Drosophila melanogaster: one gene and its partners. The protein of the gene in region 3 interacts with the protein of the main gene of each other region in a pairwise test. Each region holds a gene or a part of one and is shown on either strand. Other genes may lie near its edges. The genes, in order: IM18, Nepl5 and EMC5.

The links.
Region 1: the proteins of EMC5 (region 3) and IM18 interact in a two-hybrid assay, tested with the Drosophila melanogaster proteins (one large-scale study listed by BioGRID).
Region 2: the proteins of EMC5 (region 3) and Nepl5 interact in a two-hybrid assay, tested with the Drosophila melanogaster proteins (one large-scale study listed by BioGRID).

What each region holds. Positions count from the first base shown.
Region 1 is NT_033778.4:23,600,312-23,603,749, reverse strand, and holds IM18 (immune induced molecule 18), read left to right. Parts: upstream 1-1,976; 5' UTR 1,977-2,017; coding exon of another isoform or gene 2,018-2,076; intron 2,077-2,129; coding exon of another isoform or gene 2,130-2,199; intron 2,200-2,267; coding exon of another isoform or gene 2,268-2,474; 5' UTR 2,475-2,580; coding exon 2,581-2,796; 3' UTR 2,797-2,836; downstream 2,837-3,438. Other genes in the region: Eglp1 (entomoglyceroporin 1), read right to left, coding at 198-383, 448-850, 906-1,033; CG43209 (uncharacterized protein), read left to right, coding at 1,315-1,376, 1,427-1,493, 1,550-1,741; CG10332 (uncharacterized protein), read left to right, coding at 2,018-2,076, 2,130-2,199, 2,268-2,474; CG42559 (uncharacterized protein), read left to right, coding at 3,063-3,145, 3,201-3,311, 3,370-3,436.
Region 2 is NT_033779.5:6,379,578-6,384,028, reverse strand, and holds Nepl5 (Neprilysin-like 5), read right to left. Parts: upstream 2,764-4,451; 5' UTR 2,732-2,763; coding exon 677-2,731; 3' UTR 610-676; downstream 1-609. Other genes in the region: Nepl6 (Neprilysin-like 6), read left to right, coding at 1-484; DIP-epsilon (Dpr-interacting protein epsilon), read left to right, coding at 3,239-3,381.
Region 3 is NT_033779.5:18,986,060-18,988,986, reverse strand, and holds EMC5 (ER membrane protein complex subunit 5), read right to left. Parts: upstream 1,281-2,927; 5' UTR 1,199-1,280; coding exon 1,117-1,198; intron 1,052-1,116; coding exon 999-1,051; intron 931-998; coding exon 736-930; 3' UTR 694-735; downstream 1-693. Other genes in the region: CG15170 (uncharacterized protein), read left to right, coding at 1-693; Swip-1 (Swiprosin-1), read left to right, coding at 2,077-2,315.

The DNA of each region.
Region 1 (3,438 bases), on a different chromosome or scaffold from region 3:
GTGCAAATAAATAGCTTAAATAATTTCCAACGCCTGACGACTATATATTTAATCTAATGTAAATGCTATGCTTATCTAAGCCAGATTATTTTTACGCCACGGCGAACTGCTTATCGTTAATATTTAATTGCTCATACACTTGATCAAATAAGCCACACGGTAGCCAAAAACGTCGAGCTTATGTTTATTGTCACAGCTCAGTTGCACACTGGAATTTCCAAGGGCTTATAAGGTGGCGTATACGCATGATTCCACACGAAGGGCACCATGATGGCGGCCAGGATCTGGCCAGTCAGCTGCATTAGAACCGAATTCGGACTGCCGTAGAATATGGCAGGCACCAATGTCTTGGCGGGGTTCATACTGGCTCCAGTTAGTTGAATCTGCAATAAATGCATATATAGCTATAGTATCTATAGATACAAAATCCAAAGCCTTTCAACTCACCCCTGCGAAACTGCAAGCGATCACGAGGAGACCCATGCGAATGGCGACCGAGTCGAGGAACCTTCCGTTTCGCACGTCCCACAAGGAGCACCATCCGAGCACGAGGACCGCGGTCAGCAGGCACTCGATGATGACGACCTGGTATGTGGACAGAGTGTCCATCGGTTGTACCAGGCAAATGCCTGGCTTGCTTTTGTCCACCAGCTCCTTGGGCAGCAGTTGCATTAGCAGGAAGTAACCAAGGAAAGCACCGGCCATCTGACACACCACGTACATCATCATCACTTCCAGGGCGATGTAGCCCATCAAGTAGCATGAGATCGAGATGCATGGATTCGAATGGGCTCCGGATACGAAGCCAAACACGTGCATCACCACCATCACCGTCAGGCCATAGTGAACGCTATACGATAGAGTATTTAACAATATTCTATTATAGAAATCTCACTAAGCATCACCTGGCCACCAAGAATTTGCTCTCACCACCTTGGTTCGTTGAGTCTCCCATGCAACCGAGCAAAATCAGTAGCGCAGTGGCACTGAACTCGGTGGCTCCGCGTATAAAGGTAAAGAAGTCCCAGATCATCGTGAATTATCCGTAATATGTAATGTATCACAGACAATTTAAGGAAAAAACTAACTAACTAAATGATCACTGACTAACTATGTATGTCTGAGTATTGATTCTCCTACCGAATTCGTATATTGGAAATGTTTAACAAATATATTCGCAAAGCAAGAGGGGTTAGGTTTACTTGGATCATTTGTTAGCCATTTTTGAATGTGTTTTTGCCTCACCTAGTTGGCGTGGAGAAACTTATTAACGAAAAAAGCATAAGTACACAAATTTGACGCAGAGCTTAAAGTATGTTTCGGGGGGCTTATAAGATTCTTACTTTTTTAAAGACAAGAGATACCATGTTTCTATGGTAAGTACGTCCGCAATGTGAGTTCCCTTAAATCCACAATTTCCATGCAGCAAGAGACGACCGTTTAGCGATCTTTTTGACAAAGGAGGCAGTGGCGGTATCGACACGTATCATGTTGTGAGTATCTCCTAACTAAACATTTCAATGACTCATAAAGAACGTTTACCTCCAAGAAACATTTGCAGGGGAACAAGGGAAAAGAGGCAAGGATCATGGAACTGACCGCACAAATCGAGTCACTTGAAATGCAAATCAAAGCCCTTGAGAAAAGTAAGTCGTCCGAGGCGAAGACTGCGAGGGGTAAACTTATATTAGTGCTCAAAGAGTTGAAACAAGCCCTCCGAAACATAAGAATGAATAAATAAACATAAAACTAAATGATTGCAACAACTTGTTTGTACTGGCAAGGGCGATGGTAATTTTACATTTGACATGCGTAACCAACGCGCCACCTATGGGACAGCAAGAATGCGTAGCATAGTTTTTGGCATAGCGAAGAATGAGATAACTATAAAATGTGGTTATATGCAGAATTTCAGCTCCATATCAGCAGTTTGCCAGTTTGAAGTATCTTCAACACTTTGCAATTACTTTCAAACTTTTAGAGATAATCAAAATTAGCTGTTTTCATTTTCGTAAGCATGGACATTAACCCAATAATCAGATCTATTCTCAGCCGCTTCAGAGGCTGCACCATCAGGTAGGTTGCATTCTGTGATTATACATATTCAATCATAACATTTTGATATATAGAAGTTATCTGGTTGTCCTGCCCGATCAGAGTCGCATAGAAAATCAACTAAAACTGGAGGATCTGCAAACAGTAAGTTGTTACCTTTCAAGATAGATGATACAAAAATCGAGCGCCATCTAATCAAATCCCATCGTCAGGAACGCGGAATCTTGGATCTGCAATCCCATGAGCTGGCACTCAAGCAAAAGCGCGTCGAGGCCAATCTAACCGACCTGACCCGCTGCATCCGTGGCATGGAGTTCGATGTGAAGGTGAATTCCAATCGCGAGAGGAAGGAGAGAAAATCTGATCGACGCCCCCCAGCTGATAAGAAATCACCCAAAGTCGGTGATTTCAGCGAATAGCAAAATCCCCCCGGGTGCTTCCCAATCCCAAGGGCATACGAGTGCAGCGTATAAAAACAAGCTATTGCCGGAGGTCGGCATTCAGATTCACTTGAGATTGCCAACCATGAAGCTGATCGCATTGTGCTGCCTGCTCCTTTTGGGCCTCCTGGGCTTCCTAGCTGCTCCCGGCGTCGCCTCGCCATCTCGCCACACTGGACCAGGAAACGGATCGGGATCTGGAGCTGGGTCCGGAAATCCGTTCAGGTCTCCAAGCTCACAGCAACGACCACTGTACTACGACGCTCCGATTGGGAAACCATCGAAGACTATGTACGCCTGACGTAAAGAATGAAACAATAAAGATTTGAAACGCCTAAACTAAATTAATCGCCCAGTTTCCTTATCTTACTTATGAAATGGCCTTGATACACATCTGCTTACTATTTATAAAATGCGTAATAATTATTTCTAAATTTATTGCAAATTCTAAATTTCATATCGAAGTAGTTGCTTTTGACCGTACGTCAAATATCCACATTGTACTTTCAGACTTGTAAAATGTATTTCTGCCACACTGATTTCGTTCTATCCTAAACTTAAGAAGCCATGTTTCCTGTTGCACGAATCTTAGGCTCGGCATCGTGCAACAGGCTATTTCAACCTCAGGTGCTATGTCAAGAAAGAGTTTGGTATGTAGTACTGGAAATTTATCCAAACTTTATTTGTAAATCTTCTAAATATTAGTTGGCCTTCCAATGAGTTGCACAGAAATTTACCAAGGCATAGAAACTTTTACCACGGTAGAAACATTTTCCACCCAAGGTCGAATAATAATTTAAACGAATTTCCTGCTAAGTAAGTATTTTATTATTCAAATGACCCGTAAAAATAATTTTTTTTTTACATATGATAGACGTCAATTCACTGACAAATTTTCCGAGAAGGGCAGAGGCGAGGAACTTAACTATGTTCTCAAACTTGT
Region 2 (4,451 bases), about 13 Mb from region 3:
TGCAGCGGATAGCCACGACATATTCAAGTACAGCCTGTTGGGATTCGTACTTGCCCATGAGTTGATGCACTCAGTCGACACCGTGGGTCTTTATTATGACAGATATGGGAACATACACGAAATCGGACCGCAGATATCCAGTTCGCCACGCTTTGTGGCGGGTTTACAGTGCCTGAACCGGAACAGTACACAGTATCTGGACGAGCGTATTGCAGACATTGCTGGACTGGATCTGGCCTATTCCACCTACTTCCAGAACAGCTCGCAAATGAGTCTAACCGATTTTACGACCATTCCGCCGCAACAAATCTTCTTCCTCAATCTGGCACAGTTCTTCTGCGGCGATGGTGATCCAATAAACTTCGTTGGTCACGACAACGACGAGACGCGTCTGCAGCAAATGCTCAATGGGTTCGCGCCGTTTCACGAAGCTTTTGGTTGTCCAGCAAAGAGCAATCAGCCTGAAAAGTGCCAACTGTGGTAACTGGATTCAAGTAGTGCTTGAAATCTACTAGTGTATAAAACTATATTAAACAATAAACTAGATGGATCTGAAAAGAGTTCACTACCCCATCGAGTTACTCACTCACATTTAAAAAACTCTTCGTTAGGTGAGATTTTATTTATTCATCACTGGATCCTGCCATGTCCTGTGGGAGAGATGGAAAGAGAACTATTACCAGATGCGGCACCGCTGGCTGGCCTGCATCTTGGCCTTCTTATCGCACCCGAACTCCCTAGAGAACTCTTCAAAATTGGCCAGCGTCTGCATCACACGCAACTCATCCGCGGCGTGCTTCAAATGAGCCTCCGACTGAGATCGCGGACTGAGCACGGGCGTCCGGCCGCAAAAGAACTGGGCGAAGGTGATGAAGAATAGCTGCCGCTGGCTGAACTGCGGCAGCAGAGGATCCCTGGGCTCCCGCTTGTCCCGCACCCCGAAAAAGGTCTCATACGCTAGACGCAGAGCCACAAAGTCGGCCAGCTTTTCGTCGATCCACTTGGAACCGGTGGCCATCTGTTGCTGAAGACACTGGAGTCCTTGTCGGAACTGACGGCTAGCGCCGATCTCCTCCACGGGCCCCATGATGTTTCCCATGGCGTCGTAGTCCATTCCCAACATATCGAATCCGTGTGCCAGCTCGTGGGCCAGGACAAATCCCATCACGGCGTGCTGCTGCAGGGCGCTAATGTTTCGATGCCAGATGGGCAGCTGGAGCAGACCGTGCGGCACCAGGACCAGATTGCGTGGTCTCACATACAGGGGCGACGAGTTGCTGGCCTCCCAGCTTTCCGACAGGTAACTCAAGTTGCTCCCCGTGGAATTTGCGAAGTTTGTCACATTTATGTAAAGCAGATCGTGGTTCGCCTCAACGCGTTGTCGCAGCAAGACCAGCTGGTTGCCATAGAAGGAGTGGCCGCTCAGGTCGATGCGGACGTGGTACTGCTCCACATCCTCAATTTCCTCCGTCTGAAAGAAGCCCATCTGCAGTCGAACTGCGCGCAGTTTCTGCTGCAGGATGTGCACCAGTGGTGGCGATAGTCTCATTCGGTTCTCAGCCAAGATTTGGCCAAATCGCACCTTCAAACGCTGGAACAGTGAGCTTACGTAGGATTCGGATTCCGGATCGGAGAACTGCTGACCCACCAGCCAGCTACTGGCCAGAGGCATGGCTCTTCTGAGGGCGGCCACGCACTCACCTCGTGAGATGTCCGCGGGTCCCTGTTGCTTGAGGAAGGCCAACCACTTGAGCATGATGTAGCTGCAAACGGTGTCCGGGCTCTCCGATTCCATCAGATCGCTCAGGGCCCTGAGGTACGGAATATTCTCGATGATTAATGTGGAGCGCAGATCCAGCTCGGAGTCAATGCGTACCTGGCGCATGAAGGATAACCATCGTAGCTGTGGCAGGTACGAGTCCAAGTAACCAAGCTGCATTTCTCGTGGTCCTTCGTCGTCCTCCAGCTCCTGCAGGCGGTGCAATTTTCGTTCGAAGTCGTCCACCTGGCGAGCCAAGGCATTGGCCGTTCGCTTTGTCTGCCCAATGTCCAGAAGCAGCTCGATCATGGCACCTTCTCCCATGGGCTGCGTCTCCTGGCGACTCGGCTTGTTCACATAGATACTGTAGTTGCGAGAGTCATCCCATCGCGGCAGTACCTCCTCCCGCAGCAGCACCCCGTTCAGTCCGTGCAGACGCAGTCGCCCCAAGGTCGTTATCCAGTCGAACCGCTCCGGACGCCAGCCCCGACCCACCGATGGCCACTGCGTGGAGTTGCTGGGGGGCAGGAGCTGCAGGTACTTCTTGAGGTTGTACGGCTTAAGGCGTTTGCACGAACGGTAGTAGAGTCGCATCTGCTCCAGAATCGAGGAGTCCGACTCGAAGGAGCTCTCATTCCTTCGCCGCAGCAGCAGCTCCAGCTTCCGATTCACGGAGTGGTCTATCAGTCCCAGGGTGTCGGTGGGCAGCATCTGACCCTGGTACCGCTGCCGATCCCTCGTCCAATCTCTGTCGCGCAGGGAGTGCTGCTCCTGCTGCTGGATCTGCCAGTTGCCGCAGGCGTACTGGTAGAAGTTCTCGCAGGGACGCGCCTTCGTATCCATGTAGCTTTGCAGCTGCTCGGCCAGCATTTCCTGAACGCTCTGGGGTGCGTTGGTCTGGCGACAGGCGGTGGGCGTGGTGCGCCAAGCCAGCGAAAATATGAGCCAGGCCACTAGGCTTAGCTTCAGCATGATGGTTTCGACTGTGACAAATTGCAACTGGCCGGACTACGATTTGCCCGGATCGCGGAGACTGCGGACTAGAGCAGGCCCATCGCCTGTCAGTCATCATCGTGGGAGGAGCAGTGGATCCTAGCTATATATACACACCCAGTACTTGACCACTTGACCTTTCTATTTTCAGGCAAAGGTGATAATTAACAAAAATGCTTTAATAGGTTCAAAGTTCGAAGAACATGATCCTAGAACGTACTTTATACCCCATTTGGTGGCATATTCTTCAAAGCATTAAACACTCGTAAGATATTATAATATTTGACTTTAAATTGGATCTTCAGTACCTGGAGCCACTGTACTTTGTAGGCTAGGTCGCATTTTGATTAGACATAAGTGCGCGCTTATCAGTTTCACCTTGGCCTTGATACCCGATTGTGGGCTGTTGTGGAACTGACCCACAATGAGCACAATGGCTGTCATTGAACTTGCCTCACGCTGATGCCTCCGTCTCTCCACTTTCAGAACCGAAACCATTCCCGGCCATCCGTCGTACAAGGCGACCATGCGGCTCACGATTACCAACGTTCAGAGCAGCGATTATGGCAACTACAAGTGCGTCGCCAAAAATCCTCGGGGCGACATGGACGGCAACATAAAGCTGTACAGTAAGTGACTAGGCTATATGTGTTATTTATACCCTTTGATATTGCGCCACTGTCATAGGCAAATGTATATGTACACCCCTTTTTAAATGGGCGCCAGTATTTTGGGGGGTCTTTAAACTTGAAACTCCGACAGTTCCTTGATTCCAAAGGAAGCAGATTGTACTGTTCATTTTATCAGGATTTTTGGTGCCCAAATACTTTTTAATATACAGCAAGATTAGATTTTGATATTTAATAAGGAAATGACGCGTTTAATTTGTCTCACCGACGTTTTTCTTCATATCCTTGCCGCCGTCAACGGGGCGTATGCGCAATCCTCACAACCGGCAATTAGAGCCACTGTAGTGTCAATAAAGTGTCAATATTGTGTCAATTTGCTAAATTACTCCCCAGTCACTGTTTGGGCCATTAAAGCTCAGCTCGGCAGCAGCGATTCCGATTACAAAAGTTCATAAAACAAAATAAAATGCCCGCTTGTTGGTGGTGAGGTTGTGAGGTGGTGACAAGAGCCCAACGCCACCAAGAATGGCGAATGTGAAAAGACAACTTAATTTATATATACACGGTTTTCATTCTGCTGCCACAACAATGGCCTGTGTAGCCCATCGAAAAGTGGGCGTCATTCTACCAATTAAAGGTAACAATGGCCGCATCGATAATAGAAGGGGCAGCTCCGACAATGAGAACAATGAACCTGTGACAATTTTATTGAGTGGTCAGGAGGCGATACAGTCGCAGAAAGGCGACATCAACCAGGCATTGGAGTGGGCTATAGTTTCGTGATTCCCAGCCGAGGCAAGGCCAAGTGTCAAGCCCAATAAATTTCCTCTACAAATTGTCTTCAATAATGCCAACGGAGGGCAGCCAGCCGAGAAAAGGAACCGAGAGTTGTTAATCCTCCCCGGGGAGATGGCCAAGAAATTGAAAAGAATCGGGGGGGAAGGGCGGGCAAAAGGGATTGCACTGAATTTACGATGGCTGATAAGTGAAGACAATGCGGCTGGGTAACCGAAAATATCTGTTTAGAAATCGAGCAAAGGAGTTTCGGCACTGATGGGGCGCACATTTTT
Region 3 (2,927 bases):
TGCTATGAATGCGATGAAGGCGCTGGGTGTAATAGTAAGGATTTCACCCGGTGCTACCAATGCAGCACGGATCAAGCGGGAGCAGGCTGTGCAAATTGGGAAAGTCCTGGCGAAATCTACATTGAAGAATGCGATGAACCGGCTGCACCATGTGTGGTTGTTTCCTTTAACAACGCCACCACTGCGAGAGGTTGCCAAAAATCGGACTTCAGCTGTGCTTCCGCAAATGTGGCCAGTTGTCGACTATGCGAAGGAAGTTTCTGCAACAAAGGATCATTTCCGGAGGAGCGCCTCTGGTGTCATCAGTGTAGGGGAGTGCAGGACTGCGAGGAGATCTCCAGGGGACAAACGGCTATGCCTTGTCCGGCTCGAGCAAATGAGCCGGAGGATCAAGAATTGGCCTGCTTGGAGTACTTTGACATCAACAGTAAAGAAATTGTAAGAGGATGTCGTTCCAATCCCGAGCTATACTACGAATGTCTCTTAAGGAGTAACCACTTCGACAGTTGTCGCACTTGTCACAGTCAGGCATGCAATAATAGTCCTGGCCGGGAATTAAGAGCCAGCTATGAGCTGGAGGCCAAGGCATTGTCCTTGTTGCAAGGCAAGAGTTCCGCAATATCCATCAAATTTTCGAATGCAGGTTACGGAGTTTGGTTGATCTTTAGCGTTATCTATATTGTAACTTGCTGAGACTATAAATAAAAGGATAGCAGAACTTAAAAGAAAGGTCTCTTATTCCGGGGGCGTATATCCAGGATTTAAGGCACGACCACGGTGATTGAAGGAATAGAACGAGGGGAAGTTGCCCAAGGTGTCCCAAGTTTTCTGTTGCATGTCCACGGTGGCGCGAATTTCCTTGAAGTTGCCAACGATCTCGATGATGTTGTAAATCACAATCACCAAACTGATGACGGTCTGCAGGATAATCTAAGGATTGATAAAGGAAAACTTTTCGTGAGTAACCATGCAAGCACCCTAAATGCACCGAAACCTACGTCCAATGGAAGGCTATTCCATTCCTGCTCCGTCAGCCTCAAATAGGTGCGATCTGTGGAGTAAATGCGGCACTTAGTGGTCCAAAGTTTATTTACCACAACAGTGACGAAAACTTACGATGGGCAGCAGAAAAAGCAGCATGTGCCAGGCTGGCAAATCCGGCAATTAGCAAGAGTTTGTTAAACAGTTTACTGCCCATTTTTATTGAACAATTACGAATTACAATCACAGTCGGTACAATTTTCTACAAAATTTTGCTAAATTGCTATCAAAATGCGGGCACACCTAGGGCTGGGAGCTTTGGACGATAGTTTAGGGTTGTCTGTATACCTCATATGCCGTAATATATTTAAGAATCTTAAATTTAAATATTTTATTGGGAACAACATTAAAATTATACAAAGATTGATTTTGTGATCAAACTAATTATATAATTATATTATAACTATATAAACATACAATAAATATTCGGTTACATATTTTGCTTAAGAAAGTTAAAAACTTTCGTAAAATTTGAAACCGTCTGTTCATCAGCTAGCTTTAAATAATGATTATATACATTATTAGTAACAGAATGAATTAAAAAAATTGTAAGGTATATATATTGCCTCGAAATTCAGCTGACTTTGGTATTTGTCAGCACACGGTCACTCGAAAAATGCCGCCGCGCCCGCTGGTATATTTGAACGCTCGTGTCACGGTCGCACTTTCATTCGTCTCTCAGCGTTCAGAAGATTCGGTAGTCGCGGCGGTCGAAGCGGAACACCAGTTGTCCAATAAGAAAGCCAATTTGCAGCAAAAAAAAAAAAAAAGACCGGCAATTCAAACGCACCTTGCAACTGTTTTTTCAAAGCCAAAAAAGGACTCAGGGCCACTCCCCACGACAAAAGCTTACGTGCAACGAGTCCGTGTGTGTTTTCCTGGCGCATCGCCGCATTTGTGTGTGTATCCGGACATCTCTTTTACGGTCCTTTTTGCGTGGGTGTGCCAAAAGGAAGAGAGAGTGAGAAGGCAGCAGAAAAGGGCAGAAAGGGAAATTCCAGCACACTAAAAAGCGAGTCAACAAGGAGCGACACAATGTCCGTTTCCTCGAACGCCTCATCCGCCTCCAACAAGGACAGCGTGGACAGCCCCAGCAGCACCACCAACACGGACAGCTCCGAGCTGACGCACATCCTCAATCGGCGCCAGGAGATCATGGAGTCCCAGGAGGCGGGCATCGAGGTGCGTCGCACCTACAAAGTGGTCAACGTCTACACCGACTTCCCCGAGTTCTCCCGTAACCAGATCAAGGACTACCAGAAGACCTTCAATACGTAAGTGAAGGCCGCCGAGCAATATTTACTTTTGTCCAGAGCCACTTTAAGGCGCAATATAAATTATATTAATATGGCGAAAAGGAAGCCAACATTTTGTTTATTGTTTTTGAAAACACCTGAGCAAAATCCGTTGCAATAATAATAGTTTATGATAAGTAACGATCATCTCTAGATTATTAAATAAATACAGTGTACTAGACACACTTGTATACATTACAAACGTTTGTAAATGTATATCTATTACACAAGATAATTCAAAAACAGAAATCAGTTTGCAAAACTATTTTAGGGCTTTCAATTTGCGCCAACCTTTACACTCCTTTCACCTGCAACGGCCACTTTCCCAGGCATCTCACCGCATTTGCGTCTCATTAAATGGCAACATAAAACTCATGCGCCTAATGATCATTTAAATTGCATTTACTGCAGCCCCTCCTGCAGCCAACCCACCCCTCCCCTGCCCCCCTGGGCAATGGGGCATGACTCACAAGTACTTGCGGAGAAGTTTTGTCACAGTCACTGGCTTATTCCCAAGTCGTGCTCCCGTCGCGCGGATCATGAGTCAAAAGTGGTTTTCTGCCCCAACACTTTCAGGCGGATTCAATTATC